Lepisosteus oculatus: one gene and its partner. The protein of the gene in region 2 interacts with the protein of the main gene of each other region in a biochemical or structural test. Links are inferred from orthologs where the notes say so. Each region holds a gene or a part of one and is shown on either strand. Other genes may lie near its edges.

Evidence for each region.
Region 1: of the proteins of syk (region 2) and flt3, one has a biochemical effect on the other in vitro, tested with the Homo sapiens proteins (2 studies listed by IntAct, with this or other methods). The link is inferred for Lepisosteus oculatus from reciprocal best matches to the Homo sapiens genes SYK and FLT3.

The regions. Positions count from the first base shown.
Region 1 is NC_090700.1:5,713,730-5,721,707, forward strand, and holds the start of flt3 (receptor-type tyrosine-protein kinase FLT3), read right to left. Parts: upstream 3,006-7,978; 5' UTR 2,927-3,005; coding exon 2,878-2,926; intron 991-2,877; coding exon 911-990; intron 230-910; coding exon 27-229; intron 1-26. Other genes in the region: PAN2-PAN3 deadenylation complex subunit PAN3, read left to right, coding at 6,225-6,558. UniProt on the Homo sapiens protein: Tyrosine-protein kinase that acts as a cell-surface receptor for the cytokine FLT3LG and regulates differentiation, proliferation and survival of hematopoietic progenitor cells and of dendritic cells.
Region 2 is NC_090698.1:49,713,841-49,721,628, forward strand, and holds the start of syk (tyrosine-protein kinase SYK), read left to right. Parts: upstream 1-4,685; 5' UTR 4,686-4,999; intron 5,000-7,788. UniProt on the Homo sapiens protein: Non-receptor tyrosine kinase which mediates signal transduction downstream of a variety of transmembrane receptors including classical immunoreceptors like the B-cell receptor (BCR).

The sequences.
Region 1 (7,978 bases), on a different chromosome or scaffold from region 2:
TGACGAATAATTATAAAAATACGTACCCATCCCGATAGGAAAGACATTCTCCCCTTTCCTTATGTTGCCAGTAACAATCAACGTGTTCTGTACTGTTCAGCTGGGCCTGTACTTCAACAGTTTCGTGTTTCTCAATTTCCATTTTGGTCACCTTCCCCGCAGGAGAGACACAGGTCCCGTTCTGCATTTTTAGCACGGAAGCTCCACATGTGATTTTCGACCTGACACTCTAAATAAGAAAAACAACATAATTTTTCTTCTTTCACGAGTTAACGATTCGAAATTTCTGGTTAACGAAGGGCGTGGAAAGACCCGGGCCTTAATTAAAATAAATTAGCAAACCAGTTATCAGAATATGTAATATGACAAACGAATACATTTTCCCTTCTTTCTTTTTAGCAGAATCTGTAAAGCCTCTGGTTTAATTTGAGCTGGGTGTGTTGAAACATTCCCTCATTGAGGTTTGCATGTGTCGCTTGTGAGCTGAGCTAGCAGAAAGGACGACTGTTTCGGTACTAGTTAGGGGAGGCGCGGTACAATTTTTTTTTTCTGATTCCAGCATGGCAGTCTCGGCCTCGGAGACACTAAAACTCCGCTTAATTTGGTGGGTGAATGCCTTTAAACCAACCGAAACCTCACATGGAGTGCTAAAGAAAAGAAAAATCACTCCTCCACAGGCCTCTGGAAGTGTAGCTCTCGTTGGAAACGCTGCCAGCACAATATAGGCAGCTCTTTGGTAAGACGAGCTCCACATGTCCATCGGAGGACAATCAGAGGAGTCTCTGATCTGTAGCTCTGCTGCAAACTGCATCGCCCTGGTTACACAAGGACGTCGTGCCAGGCTTCACTGCCAGAGAAGGGGTGACTTTTAGATCCCCCGTGTCTTCTTCAAATCAGTTGTCTCTCTTACCTTACGCGTCACGAAACATTGGACTTGGGGCACCGTCCCACCGCCTGGCGCTTCAGCCGACAGCAGCGGAAGAGTGACAGCTGCAATATACAGAAAGCGTCCGCTGAGTAACTCCAGGCAAGCAACAGGGACGATTCACTGAAGCACTCGATGGGCTGGAGTAGTGTACCGAACGTCTTGGTCGTATAGGTGCCCGGCTTGGCCAGTAAGACAAAGAATGAGTCCAACTGTGTAATGAGCTCAGATAGATCAAAAAAGAGACATCCATCCGTGACGGTGGTATCGTTGCCATGGTTTACAGGCAAGATCAGAAACTTTAAGCACCGTGTAGTTGTGTTTCAAGATATTTTGGCCTATATGTTTTTAAAAAAAAAAAACACGTTTAGAAAACATTCTTAAGTTTTCCGTCGAGGTTTAAAACGAGCTAATGAAAACGCTCCTAACAGAAGATAACTGTTTTTTTTTAGAGAGAAATACCTTCACAAATAAAAAATTGTTTCAGTATAAAGTCTACAGTATCAGATGCGCAAGCTATATGGAATATACACAGAATTGAGTACAGGAGGCAGATATTCAATCGGCTAAAGGGAAAAATAATATATGAATGATGGAAAATTATTTCTAAAGACTTCGGTTCCACTGTAAGTTACTGTTAATATTAATAATGATAACAATAAAATGATGTAAACAACACCTTATTCAAATACAGACAATAATTCTCATTTTTCGCTACCACCCTTCCCTTTAACAGCTGAAATAAGTTTTGTCTCTGAAGATGTTATCTGGCAGTGAAAGGAATTGGCCAGTTTGATATTTTTACTCAATTGCTCTGAACACAAATCTGTAGATTTGACTGAGCTGGTTTTCGCCGCTGCCATCGATCAGACCAGGTGAACAGGTTGTTGTGTGGAAAGCCGGCGGAAATTACGGTCAATAAATTAATACATTCATTTATTAATTTGAGTTAAACAGCAACGTTGCAATGTGTGACATTGAAAATAAATGTTAGGTTAGTTTTTTATGTTTTGTGTAGAGCTTGCATGTAGTCATAAAGGATTATAGGTGCTGCGTACTGTATACAAGCAGGAGTATTTTGTTGGTTGACAGACTCATCCGATTATTTTCATATCCGTTTTAACGTCAGAGCTGAAAGTCAAATAATTACTCAGCAAGACGCCTAAATGGTGCATATTATAACTTCTAAAATTACAAACGGTTACGTCTCTTCGCTATAAATTTGTGTCAATAGTTTTTGTTATTTGGTGACTTAATCTTTTTTTAAGTGTTTACAACCGTTTGGTTTTGAGCGCAGCTAGGAATGACACAATGACAAAAACCGTCCACCAACAAGATAACGATTTAAGAAGAAGGTATTGTGGTATTAAAACTAAAATGTGCGTCCGTCATAGTTTTAGGTCAAAACACTGCTTTTAAGTATAAGATCAAGGCCTTGTTTAGCATCTTTGCGGTTTTTGGTGTACTGGGTATTGATATATTTAGAAATGGCGATAAAGAACTTGTTACTACTATCTTTCGACGGATTTTAATGAACTGTTCTCCCTCGCTGTCTTTATTTGAATCTTTATGTTCTCACTTAAGAAAATCGAGGACGGAAAAGTCCCGTGGGTTGAATTATGTTTAATTGTAAAATTACACGGTCATTTAAACAAGGTCAACATTAATAGCCGCTGAACGAGCTGCTGAGATCATCGTAATTAAGAGAGGCGCTGCGGAGCCCCTTCGGCGTAGTCTCCGACACGGACCTGTTACGGTGCGTGTGTAAAAGATCACGAATTTGACACAAATACCACAGTCGTTCTGAAAAAAAAAACGATTAACTCTGTGAAGCCGCAAGAGAATAGAACTGTTTACCATTTGCAGCATTGTGAATTCATTCAAAGCATCACATGGTAGATATCAAAGTGCCTTGATTCTGTCTGGGCGCGGTGGCGCTGCGCCTCACTTACCCAGCAGAACGATTTCCTTGCAGAAGGTTTGCATCGCAAATCGCCCCATTACCGTAAATCAGCCTGTTTCATCGTGCACGTCCAAGACTGTGCACTAAAACAGAGAGCGGTGGACTTCAAAAAGAAGAACTTCGCACACGGCACTGCCCGACAAAAGGTTACGCCTGCCCGTCTCTGCGTCACGTTACCAACTTTCAGTGGTGTTGAGGTGGAGCTCAACTCAGCTCATGAGCCGGAGAGCAGAGTCCACGCACAATTCAGGTGCATTGCTCTGAATCTGAATTAGCATCCCCAAAGTGCAAATACATGAAAATGGTGTAATTCCACCTGACCTTCATGCCACACACTGTACATACAGTATACACTGTACTACTGTGCCGCAGTCTTAATTCTGCTATTCACAATTATTTTCCTGCTGTAAAATTCGAGGATCCTGGTGCGGTTCCCTTTAAGGAAGGAAATTCAAACAGTTCAAGGAGGTTCAGGTGCAATTCTGCTGCAATTACCTCTCTTCAGTATATTTAATCACTGTTCCATCAAGCACACAAAACCAACCATAGCCGTCTACCTCGACAAACAAACAAAAAATGCATGCTCACACTCGCCCACACAATTCCTCTCACACAGCTTGAGCTTCGAAAGGCTATAATTGCTGCAAGTTTGACCATTTAATTTAGTATTGTAGATGATAGAGGAAAAAACTTAATTCATGCTGAGGAAAACGTGATAAGGAATCAATAAGGTTTAAATGGGAAAGTGGATTCGCTGCTGAAACATTTTCTATGAGCCGCTAAACCATTTACTTTGAGCTGCCCTGATGAGGCTTTTGAACTTTCTATACTAATGTGAATTCATTGAATATAAATTGATGCATTGTGAATGATGGGAGCAGTCAGGGACGCCCTGCAGGTGGACGGTGCCGGATTTAGCCTGTAAGTAAATCTGAGTGTCATCAACATAGCGGCAGCATGGACATACTAAACTGCAAAGGCCTCAGCACAGAACCCTGGGGAACTCCATAACCGTCACAATGTCACAAGCATGACAAATGCTGATTTAAAGCAGTTTATTAATTGGGTTCTGTTATGTATTGACAAAAGTGGAAATGGTTTTGCAATTTAAACAGTTTTAATTAACATAACTTGTCAGGGACATTTGTTTACTGACTACATGAATCCAGTGGGACCACAATTCCTTAAATTCCTTAAGCCAGTCAAGAGCCAAATCAAAGGATGTATCAGTGATCCCTAGATAATTTTTCATGTGCTCTTTTTTAAGCCTGTCACGAATGACAGTAACAACAGCTTCAGTTAAATCAGGAAGAAGAATATTAAGCCATCCAGCATTAGATATCATTGAGCAAATCATTCTCTTAACGAGTGCTGTTTCAGTAATGTCCTTGGTAAAATCATAACTGGGAAAGTTGAAAGAGCTAAATACTTGTAAGATAAAATCATAGATGTCCTAGGAATGGACCCGAAATTTCACTGGTACAGCAACAGTTTGATAAAAGGGAATATTAAGAATACATAAAAGTTATTGAACAGGCATATTTTAATGAAAGAAGTGTCTCTATAATTATTTATACATGTATAAATGTTTTCATTTATAATACTTCTTGATCTAATAAATCTCATATGTTAGTCTTTAAAGTAATGAATACATAACCTTTCAGTGCAAAACTTTCAGCCACCTTAATCCAATACCTGAATTCTTCAAACTGTATGCAAAGTAAACAACAACAACAACAACAACATATGATTCATGACTTTTCCAAAAGCAGTGAGGTGGAGGAATATATATAGTTCAAACATGTTTATTTAACTTCCTATCTTTAGCAATATTTTTATCTTTATTTAAAAATCTTTTGCTGGGTCAATGGCAGAACCCGAGCATGGAAACAAGCACACTAGAGAGACAACGTTTCCCACAAGGAGAGTGCAAAGCTACCTCTGAAATTGATGAGGGCACTGCTGAACTCCATAACAGAAGGCGCATCACAAGTAGGTGCGATCTCGTAGTGACACGTAACAAAGCACCCAGCACCGACAGGGCAATGACTAACGATGCAAAACTCTCAAACTGGTAAGCAGCGCTGATTAACCTAGAATCCACCTGCCACCTCGCAGAGGCAGACTTTACGAAGTTACGGGGCTCGGTCGCCACAGCCTGGCCATCCAAAACTGCGCGATACAAGGCAGACGTGTCGACTCAGAGCTCGGCTTGCTCTGCTCCCACCGCCTGCCGTCTGAGGTACAGACAGGGCTACCACCTTCTGCTACACTGACTGGGAAGTGTCCCTCCCCAGATCAGAAGCGCGCCTCCCTGTACTCACTCCCAGACCCTACCGTGAAGGTAAGGATCAGCTACTGCACAGTAGTGTATTGTGAGTGCGGCACTGGCAGTATGTGCCTGTCACAGAGTAGCGCTGCCCGGACCCACACAGCCTAGCCAGGTCCATTTTATTTGGCCCTAATCAGTCCACTTTATTTTTCCCTTCCACTTATCTAAAAAAAAAAAAATCTCATGACGACTGTCTCATGCACATTTGTCGTACGGTGTTTTTCTCTTCCCCGGTTCCTTCAAAGCGCCTCGCATTTGGCAGCGCTGTCGCGGGCCATGCCAGGGCGGCCGTTCAGAGCGAATTGCGCGTAACTGCGCTACCTGGGGTCCCTGCTGGGCGCCGGTCTGTCTCAGTGCGCCATCCGATCAGCGGACAGAGCAGATTTGGAAACGCCACGGGGGGACATTGTCTTGCCAGGACGGTGCAACCTGTTTGTTGGAGACCACCGCCTTTCTCGTGCGAACACGAGCGAAAGGAAGTCCTTTTTTTACTTTTTTGGGGGGGCTTTTTCGATCCGATCTCAAAACCTCCCCCCCGTAAATGAAATCGGATTTTTAGGTCGGAGATCCCAAGCTGATAAAGATGGTCGCTCGGAGGCAGCTGAGGGTCTCAGCGCAGTTTGCTCTGGTTGGATTGCCTCTCTACCCACAATGCAGCTGTCTGCTCATGCTCAGCGAAGTGATTCCAGAGGAAGAGAGGAAGAAAAAAACACAACAGTGAAGTGAAAGAAACTTCCCTGTGCGTGTAGCGCCCTGGGACCCCAGCCGTGGATATTGTTCCAGCACGTACAAAAGGACGGCCGATTCAGGAAGCAAAAGCACCCAAATACGCTGCATCGGGTCGCTCCGGCTTGCCCGTGTCTGGCGGCACCGCAGGCTTTGTCCCTACTGTTGAACGCTGCAAATAACCCACTTTGGTGTCTCGTCTGCTCGGCTTCGCTCTCTATGTTCGAGTATCTTCCGGCGGCCGCGGCGGTGGCGACAGCAGCAGCAGCAGCAGGGCCATGAACAGCGGGCTCCCAGCTTCAGCAACTCCGCTGGCGGGGGTCGGGATTCCCAGCGTCAAGGTGAAGTTCTGCCGGTACTACGCCAAGGACAAGACCTGCTTCTATGGAGACGAGTGTCAGTTCTTGCATGAGGACCCGTCCATGGCGGGCCTGGCGCTGCACGGCGGCGGAGGCAGCCCCGTCCCGCTCTCTCTGCCCGGGGGACCAGCGGCCGGATACCCACTCGGAGGAGCTGCAGGCGCCGGGCCGGGTGGCGGTGGGACAGGAGTGCCCAAAAAGGGCGACCCCCTCGGGCCAGCAGGCACGGGACTGGACGGACAGTTGCTTGCCAGTGAGACATCCCTTTCATTACTCACTACATCGGCGTGCATGCACGGAGGCCTAGCTCGGTCTCGCTTTGCCGCCCGCGCTGTCGCACTTGGTTTCCCCGGCCTGTAGCTATTGTGTGGAAATCGAGGCCGGGGCTCCGCGTTGGGCCTCCTCTTTCTCTGGGTAGCGGGGGAACTCCCCCAGAAAGTTTTAGTCCTTATTTAAAAAAACAAAACACTCTTCAAAGACCGGAGCTTTAGGCCAAACCGTTTGCACGGTTTCTTTTTTTAAAAAATCTTTTGCGGTTTTTTTTAATAATCCTGCACCGAGCCCGTTTTTTTTTTAAAGCAAGTGGTTTATTTTTCAAGTTTTCAGAAACTCTCTCTCTCTCTTAAAAAAAAAAAAAGGAGGGGTAACCTTTATGGGACCGAAGGCGCAGATAATGCCTGGCATCGCGACGATCGTGCATTTTTAATCGGTATCTAGATTAGCCAGCCAGGCAATAGGCGGTAAATGCGACACGGTTGCTGGTGATGTGAGATTTGAAAAATGCCAGGGCTGGTCGGCGAGTTCTTGGGGAGGGGGGTGGCTGATGATACAAAGTAGCGATGTTTGTTCTGCAAGGAGCCTGGGTCTCGGTGTTGGGGTTTTCATTTCGGGCACAAAAGGTGTGCAGTTGTTTACGTCTGTCCTAGCCGGCCCTCTGATTGGCTGCCCGCCGGGGGACCGCTTTGAGGCGCATGGGTATGGACGGGGGAGGACGCCGGGGCTATTTATCGATCCATATCGGCTGGGTGCGCGGGTAAACCAGCTCAGTCTCGGTCTGGGTCAGCAGGTGGCCGGTATGAGGAGCCAGGAGTCGGTGTCATTGTACGTCATTTCGGAGACATTGTTCGGTTTGGACCACGATGTTAAAGGAGCTAATAACGGAGTCGGGTCAGCCTTAGAAGAGTGAAACTGAAAAGAAAGAGACCACTTTCTTTTCAGTCACTAGCAGCACGGAAATAATAATAATAATTCCCCACACTTCTATAGGGCTTTTCTGGGTACTCCACTCAGTGCTCCTTACGGGTAATGGGGACTCCCCTCTATCAGCACCAGTGTGTAGCCCCACTTGGATTGTGCAACTATAGCCAAATTACACCAGTACACTCACCACACACCAACTCTCATTGGGAAGGAGAACATGGTGATGAAGCTAATTCATAGATGGGGATTTCTAGGAGGCCAGGGGAAAATTTGGCCAGGATACCAGGGTAACAGTCCTCCTCTTTTCGAGTAACACCCTGGGATTTTTAATGACCACAGAGAGTCAGGAACTCAGTTTTACATTTCATCCAAAGATCAGAATAATTGTTTTTGGCATGGTGTCCCCATCAGTGTACTGGGGCGTTAGGACCCACACAGACCGCAATGTGAGTGACCCCTGCTGATCCTTCCAA
Region 2 (7,788 bases):
ATTCTGCACATAAATGTTGCCCACTATAAATGTTGCCACTGTTAGCTGAGTCTTGATTTTTTTATACATTTAAAAATTTCCTTTGCAATGTTTACAGTTTACTACCCTCCTGTTTTTACATCATATGTAAACTTGACTAGTTAATTAATTATTCCAGAAAATAGACCATAAATATACATAAAAAATAATGGACCTAGTGCAGTTCCCTGTGGTACTCCAGAATTTACACAGCTCCCATTTGAACATTCACCCTGTATCTGTGCTCCTTTAGGATTTATCCTTCTTACAATTAGTGTTTTCTATAGAAAGATAGTTCTACTTAAAACATATATTTAGATTATTTAATGTATAATATTTATCTTAATATACCATTTCTCTGTTTATGTCCACTACTGCCATCATTTGTTCAAGAATTACAAAAAGTGTTCTGAGCAAACCTTTTTCTTAATCTATGTTGGCATTTTGCTATTCCAATATTCTCTATCTACTTTTTGGTTAGCAGTGAGCCTTGTTTCATGAACACAAATGTCACAGGCCCCCAGACTCTGTTTTTTTAGGTTTCTAAAAAAGAAATCCTTTTTCATATGGGAAAGTAAAGCTGTTTAATTAAAATACAGAGGCAACTTACTAGCTCTGCAGTCTATTCTGCTTTGACAGCATTCATCCTCTTTCTGGCTATAGAATAATTGTCCTGACCTGCACTTGACCTGAAGATGTTCCATTAACTAAAATGTTATACTAGTACATTTCTTTGTATTGGAGTGAATAATTTCTTTTTTATGGAAATGGGACAAGAGTCAGAGAACACAAGTGCAAACCATAACAAAGTGCATTAAAAACTAAGAAGAGAGGAGGAACTTGAAGGAGTACAGTACAAACTGGCAAGCTACAGTATGATGGTTGAAGCTGCTTCTCAGGCTTCAATCAGGATATAGCTGTGTGTCATTTTGTTACTGAAAAATCAAATGAGCAAGACTGGCCTAATGGCCCACTTTTATTTGTAATTTATCGGATGTTCTTAAGTTTTGAGACAGCTAGCTCTTGCTGAAACTCACGTTTATTGACAGGAAAAGTTATGTTGCTTGATTAACCATGCGATACAGTACAGTATGTTTTCATTTTACAGAAAAGCAAATGCTTTTGGTTGCAAGGCAACATGTAAATATACTGGATCTAATTTCCACATAGCACATACAAGTACAATTTAAGATTTAGCATAAAATTAAATAGTGAAAGAAACAGTTGTAATTATGTTGCCTTAATCTCTCTTTATTTCAAAGTGTTCTTTGTTCTAGTTTTTACACACACAGACTAGAAGAAGAAAAGCACGATGAGTTTACAGTGAGCTTCGTGAGAAGTCTGATAGGCAGAGTCTGCCATCTGCTGGGACTTTGGAACAACACCATGCTTTCATCTGCAGTCTTAAGCCATTTACAGTCTCAGTATGAACAGTACAAAGAACATTATAACTCTGGAGAGGTTGACTAAAAATAGTAAATTTAAAAATAGTTGCTAGCATAAGCATACATTATTACAGGTCAGAACAATAATGATTAATTGGCTCAAATATAAATGGAAAAACATCAGTGCAAGTTGGTACTTAGAATGCTACAAAATCATCTAGCCTTTACCTGTATATGGACATACTGTATTGTAGTTATAGGCAGACATGTCTTTAAATCTGAAAGTGGAATACCAAAAGGCCTAGCCAAAGGTGCTCCAAATTTTTCAAAGCTACTGAAACAATGAAGAAACAACTCCAACTAGACTCAGGGAAAAACAAACAGGTTGCAGAAGTGGACTGATGTTCACTAGCTTGTGTAGCAGATTTTTAGCAGATGTCATCAAAACTGACAACCTACATCCTGGCATCTGGAATCTGGAGAAGGGAGTCCTACATCAGTGTTTCTTTTGGGATTGGAAGAAAACTGTTTTTCATTTAACATGTTTATTTTAGTGAGCAAAGTATGACCTTAAAAAATATTTTTCACCATTTTTAGATAGATGCTTGGGGGTGGAATTAAAGTTGGGGGCCGACACTATACTGAATGGATGTAGTGAGTAGGGGGTCGGCAAAATGTATGAGTGAGGAGGCCATGCCCAGCTGAGACTAATACTGATGAACCCATGGGGCACAGTGAGTGTCAGTAACTGTGGAGGTGTCCTATGAGGACAGTGGGATAGAAAGGGGGAAAGAGGAGGAAAAAGGTGGGGAGTGGGGTGGATGATGAGGAGAGGAAGGAGAGGAGTCGAACTTTGCTCACATTTCTTAATGTATTGTACCTCATGGAAAAGTGGTGTCCCTCTGTTGTCTTTAAGTTAGGAGCTGGTCTGCGTTAGTTTAAGTTCTCTGCTTGTAAAGTCAGGGTTATATCCTAGCGTTTAGCTGTCATAAGTCTTAAATACAATCAGATGTGACTGGTTTATGGTTACTGGCTCTTCTGGACTTTTTTCAGCTAAGATCTGAATCTAGGATACAGATGTGGACCAAGGCTTAGCCAGCTTACTGTCTGAATATTTTTCTAGACCAGGGTCTAGCTTGCGGGAGCCTTGCAGTGAGCCTTACAGCCCAACTCTTCTTACAGAAACATTTCAGTATAACACTGCCAGTGATACCGGGTAGCTCTTCCATGTGCATGCTTGTTATTTTGAAAAATAACAACACCACATAATGGTAGTTCCCACACCATGGTCATTTGTTTAAAAAAACACATATCTTTAAAACGAGCTTTATGTAGTCCTTGTTCTCTCACCTGTGGTTTGGACACAAGCCTGAAGCAATTCCGTGTTAATTTATATGTAAAACCTGGATGAAATAAAAACTTCAACTTGCCTGTCAACGAAACTACACAGACCTAGTGTAATATTGTGAGTTTTACGAATACTTACTCCTTCTCCTCCTTTTGTACCCCACCATTGAGTAAGGGGTTTGTAATTCTGTCATTGGAAGGTGGGCTGAAGTTCTGATTTAATCCAGACCAAAGATACGCCAAAATGAAAAAATGGGAAGAGCTGAACACATAACTTAAAGGACAGATAAAGGACAGATTTATTTATAAACTGAAAAGGTGAGATTTTACATTGTACTCTTTCAAGCTCTTTGAAAAATTATATCATACACTATTAATAAAAATAGTGTTAAAAAATAATTGTAGTCTATGTGGGAAGCATGGTGGCTACAGTGGTTAACATTGCAGCCTTTCAACACTGGAGCCTCAAGTTCACTTACAGACCTAGGGTGCTATCTGCATGGAGTTTGTACAGTAAGTTCTCCCTTCATGTGGGCTACTTCTGGCTGCTCTGGTTTCCTCCCACAATCCAAAAATATAATGGTAAATTCATTGGTTTCTGGGAAAATGGGCTGTGTTATACTGTAAGTGTGTGTGTTTCTGTCTGTGTGTACCCTGTAATGGACTGGTGTCCCATCCAGGGTGTATCCTGCATCCTACTTTGCCCGCTGTTTACCAGGATAGGCTCTGGACCCTCTACAACTCTTGAATTGGATAAAGCTGTTAGAAAATTGAAGGAGGGATGTGCTGTTTGTATAAACCAAGAACAACCACTAGATGTCAGTTTTGAGTGTCAAAGAAGGCTGTTTAAAATAAATTCATTAAAAATGTCTTTATGTTTCCACGACGTTCTAATTATGAAATGGATTCCACACATATTTCTGTTTTTTTATGTTATATAGTACAACTGTATGTTATAAATATGGTTCCAAGCATCAGCTTAGACCAAGACCTTTTCTGATCTTTACTAAAAACTAAATTGACTGGTTCAAAGTCTCTTCGCTCTTTTTTTCAAGAGATTTGTTATGCTCACTGCAATTTGAAAGATTCACAGACTGACTGCCTGTCTGATTGATTGATTCCATATCAATGCTGTTAATTTCTAACCTGTGTTGTTAATTTCTAAATTTCTAATACTATTGTATTAGAATGCAATAACCAAGTGATTGATTGTCAAGTTAAAGTTTTTAAAAATTAGTTTATATTACATATGACTCATTTTTCAAATGTACACTTTTTTAAATGAAAAGAAAAGTGAAAAATGTTAATAGTTACAAAATTGTGAATTTTGCTGTGCCCATTATATTGCATTGATGAAACTCTTAAAGCCTTTCTTTATAGTTTGAATACAAGCCTTGTATTTATTTACTCTGCAGTAGTAGTAAATAAGAATTACTTCTTACAGTAATAGTAGTTGTTTGTAACCCAAACATACAGTGTAGATATTATGTATGCAAAGATACCCAGATATTGTATATATTTTCCTATCAGTAAGAAAATATCATACAGTAAGAATATTTTCATTACCAGGTCTAAGCAAACTATCATATTACTTCACTCAATGTATTATATTGCATAACGGTATTTGCTATACTGTACATACAGTAAACTGCAAATATTATCCTCACATACTGTACAGGAGTTTGTCAGCATAGTAGTTTGTCTTTTTTACAATACTTTTAAAGCCCTGTTTTCTGTATGATTGAACAGGCATGCCTGAACCACATTTTTTAAAAAAATTCATTCCGACATGGACACATATACATCTATCTACATACCATACAGTACATACATATATTGATGTTTTAAATCAAGACAGACTTTGGACAAAAGGGGAAGTCATATTCTAGAAAAAAAAGTCAAGGAAGTAGCTGCAAGCTGTTAAAAAGGGGAAGCTAAATTACACTTCCACATTGTACTCTGGCCTCTGCAAAAAACTCAAGTCTTGTAACCTCTTTAATGTAACACACATTAGTAATACATTGCGTTAAATATATATAGAATTTATTGTCAAGTTAAAGTTCCAATTTGCTGTTGATCAATTTTCTAAACTCATGTCACCTCCTGATACAAATTCTTCCAGAGTGATCACTTCAAAATATCCAAGAAGAGCCAGACCACATCCTGTTCACTTCACAAGCAGTTGAATATGGTTGCTTCTTTCTCCGAGCACAGAGACAGCTAGAAAAGGTTTTGGACCTACGTGAAAGGTAACGTTTTTGCTTATTGATTGACTACTGAATGTATGGATGAATTAATGTTGTGGGATTTTATTTTTTGAAAGAGAGTTTATGAAAAAGTAAAGTGCTAGCCACACTGTAAATGAAATACTTTGGATCAAAAGAAAAATGAAAGGCACCTGAGCAATTTTCCACTATTTGTTTTATTTAATTGACTGTGTGAGAGCTCAAGTGAATCTCGATATGATTTAATGATAGTGTTGTATACATACTGTATGATATATATGTAGAGGCTCTTTGTACGTCGTTATTAATAGTAAAATATATTTTTCTTTTGACTTCTTTAATTTCTAATGTTTCGAAGCAAGCGCCAGAAGCAGTGACCGTTTTCTTTTTATTTTCTATTAAATTAACAAAAATGACCAGGACTATTAAACCTAAAATTACATTTAGGTTATCTACAGTACATATTATTTTTTCAGACAGGATAATTTTGTGTGTGTCAAGTAAACTCAAGTTTTAATATGTTAAGCTCATATCTTTTAAACACATTTTAAAGTAACTGATCTTTTACATTTAATTTAAAGTTGCATTCTGTATATAGTCAGCTTTCTTGTAAATTACAGTGAACGTAGTGTAAATGTATTATTGAAATGGAGTCCAATGCTGCACATTGGAGTTGCTTTTGCGTTTTTTGAACACAATATTTTTAGGATGTTTGTCCTGTAATACAGAGAAAGGGAACTAGTATTCACAGAGAAAGGAAGGCAGAATAGTTGGAAAGTGGAAAATAATGTTTTCGCAGTCAAACATTTCTTTTTAGCACTTCTTCTAAACCATCCCACCCATTTCTGATTAACACAAACTGTGAAATACTAATATTAGTCCTTAGCAATAACATGGAAGGTAGTATATTTAAACATATATGAAGCATATAAAGTACTTTATTTTTTTTTTCAAATGTACTTTTAAATGCACTTTAGGGCACTGTTATGGCAGTGTTGAACAACATTATGTTCACTTAGCTCGTATGATTTATTGATTTAAGATAATGCTTTATTTGATTCATATGTTTACAGACAGAAGTACCTGTACTGTATGCTTAACCTTGAAATTTACATCAAGAAAAAATATAATTGTACTAAAGTTTGCAAGTACAGTACTATTTTTTTACAATACATTAACAAGTGTTGAGTTATATCCCATGAGGGGAGTTGGGTTAGCACAGGTCCTGCCTAGGTACAATAAAATTAATAAAAAATGTATTTTAATAATTATACAGAAAGAAAAGAAATATATGGAAAAATGTAACAAAGGGGATATTTAGTCCTATTTAAATTCCTGTTAATTAACAAATAATATAAATCCTGAATTCTACTGCCATGATGACATTTCATACAGTGCAGGAACTCTACATAAACAGAAGGATTTTAGTGATTAATATTTTTCAGTTTATTTTTGTACATTTTTAAACCAAACATTCAAAAGGCAAGTTTTAATGCTCCGTGTATTAAATTAAATTATCTCCCTAGAAATTTGGCATCTAATAGTTGTAGTGATGTTGTCATGCAAAACAGAGAATCTTTAATCTAAGAGTTTGAGTTTCCTGCAGTAAGTCCAAGACCTACAGTACAGTATTGTCAATACAGTGCTCTTATTCATTTTGTCTCATTTTATGATGTTACTCCCATAAGTTCACCATTGTGTCTTTATTTCCATTCATGTGTACAGTAGCAGTATGAATTTACATACATGAAATATAGCATGCCTTTGAAAATAAATTGTTGCTAGTTTTAAATAATTGCTGTTTAACCATTGAGCTAATTAAACTAACCACGGGTAAATTAATAATCAGAAAACCCCTAAATAACAATGTAAGGGCTGCCATTTTATTTTCACATTTATTTTATGTGATTTTATTTCCAAATAGCTTTCATGTGAGTTACCAGTGAGAACTAGCAAAGTATTTGTCTCTTAAAAGTAATCAGGGAAGAATGATTCTGAAATTGTATGCATGCTGTAGAATCAGGTTCACAACATGTCATTTGTGTGTTTTTGCTTAATTAAAAAATGGCTTCCATTGGACTAACCCTAACACATTAATTGCTGGACCTCACGATTATAATAGACACACACTGCTGATTGCAAGGGGATAAAAACACTTTTGTTAATGATTAAGAAACTGGAAGCAAACTTTTCATGCCTAAAGCTGACTTCCTTAGACTGATCTGTTTATAGCTTGACTTTAGGTTTCTGAACACAGTTGTATGAATTTGCATGCCTGTATGTAAAGGCTTTAGAGTTTTTGTTTCCAGTTAAGGTGAAAACCACAGGGTGGACGAGCAAGGTACCGTAAATAAACACTGTTCTCTTGTATTTTGCATGTCAAATTAAATGGCAGCATTCTGAAAACATTGAAATATTTTTTTTATTCTTATGATGTTAATACTGTCCTCAAGAAATTAATGAGAAAAATATATCATTAAAGTAGCATACATTGTACTTTTATTGCAATTTAAAAGTACAGCATTGAGCTGCAATGTAGGGAGAAGTAAATAGTATTCACAGAAAAAGGAAGGTGCAGCAGTAAAACCCAAAATAAAGTTTTGTTAAGCTATTTCTTTCAGCACTTCTTCTCAAGCATCACATTTATTCCAGATAAAGAAAAACTGTGGAAATACAATGGAAAGTGTTTTTTAGTACTGATTGTACATCATTTTGAGTCTTCAAATCTTTTGTGATAAAAAAATGAAATTATTTGTGTATTAAAATTGTGCTGGAAAGGAAGTAAACAATGGAAAGTGCAATATATTCATGCA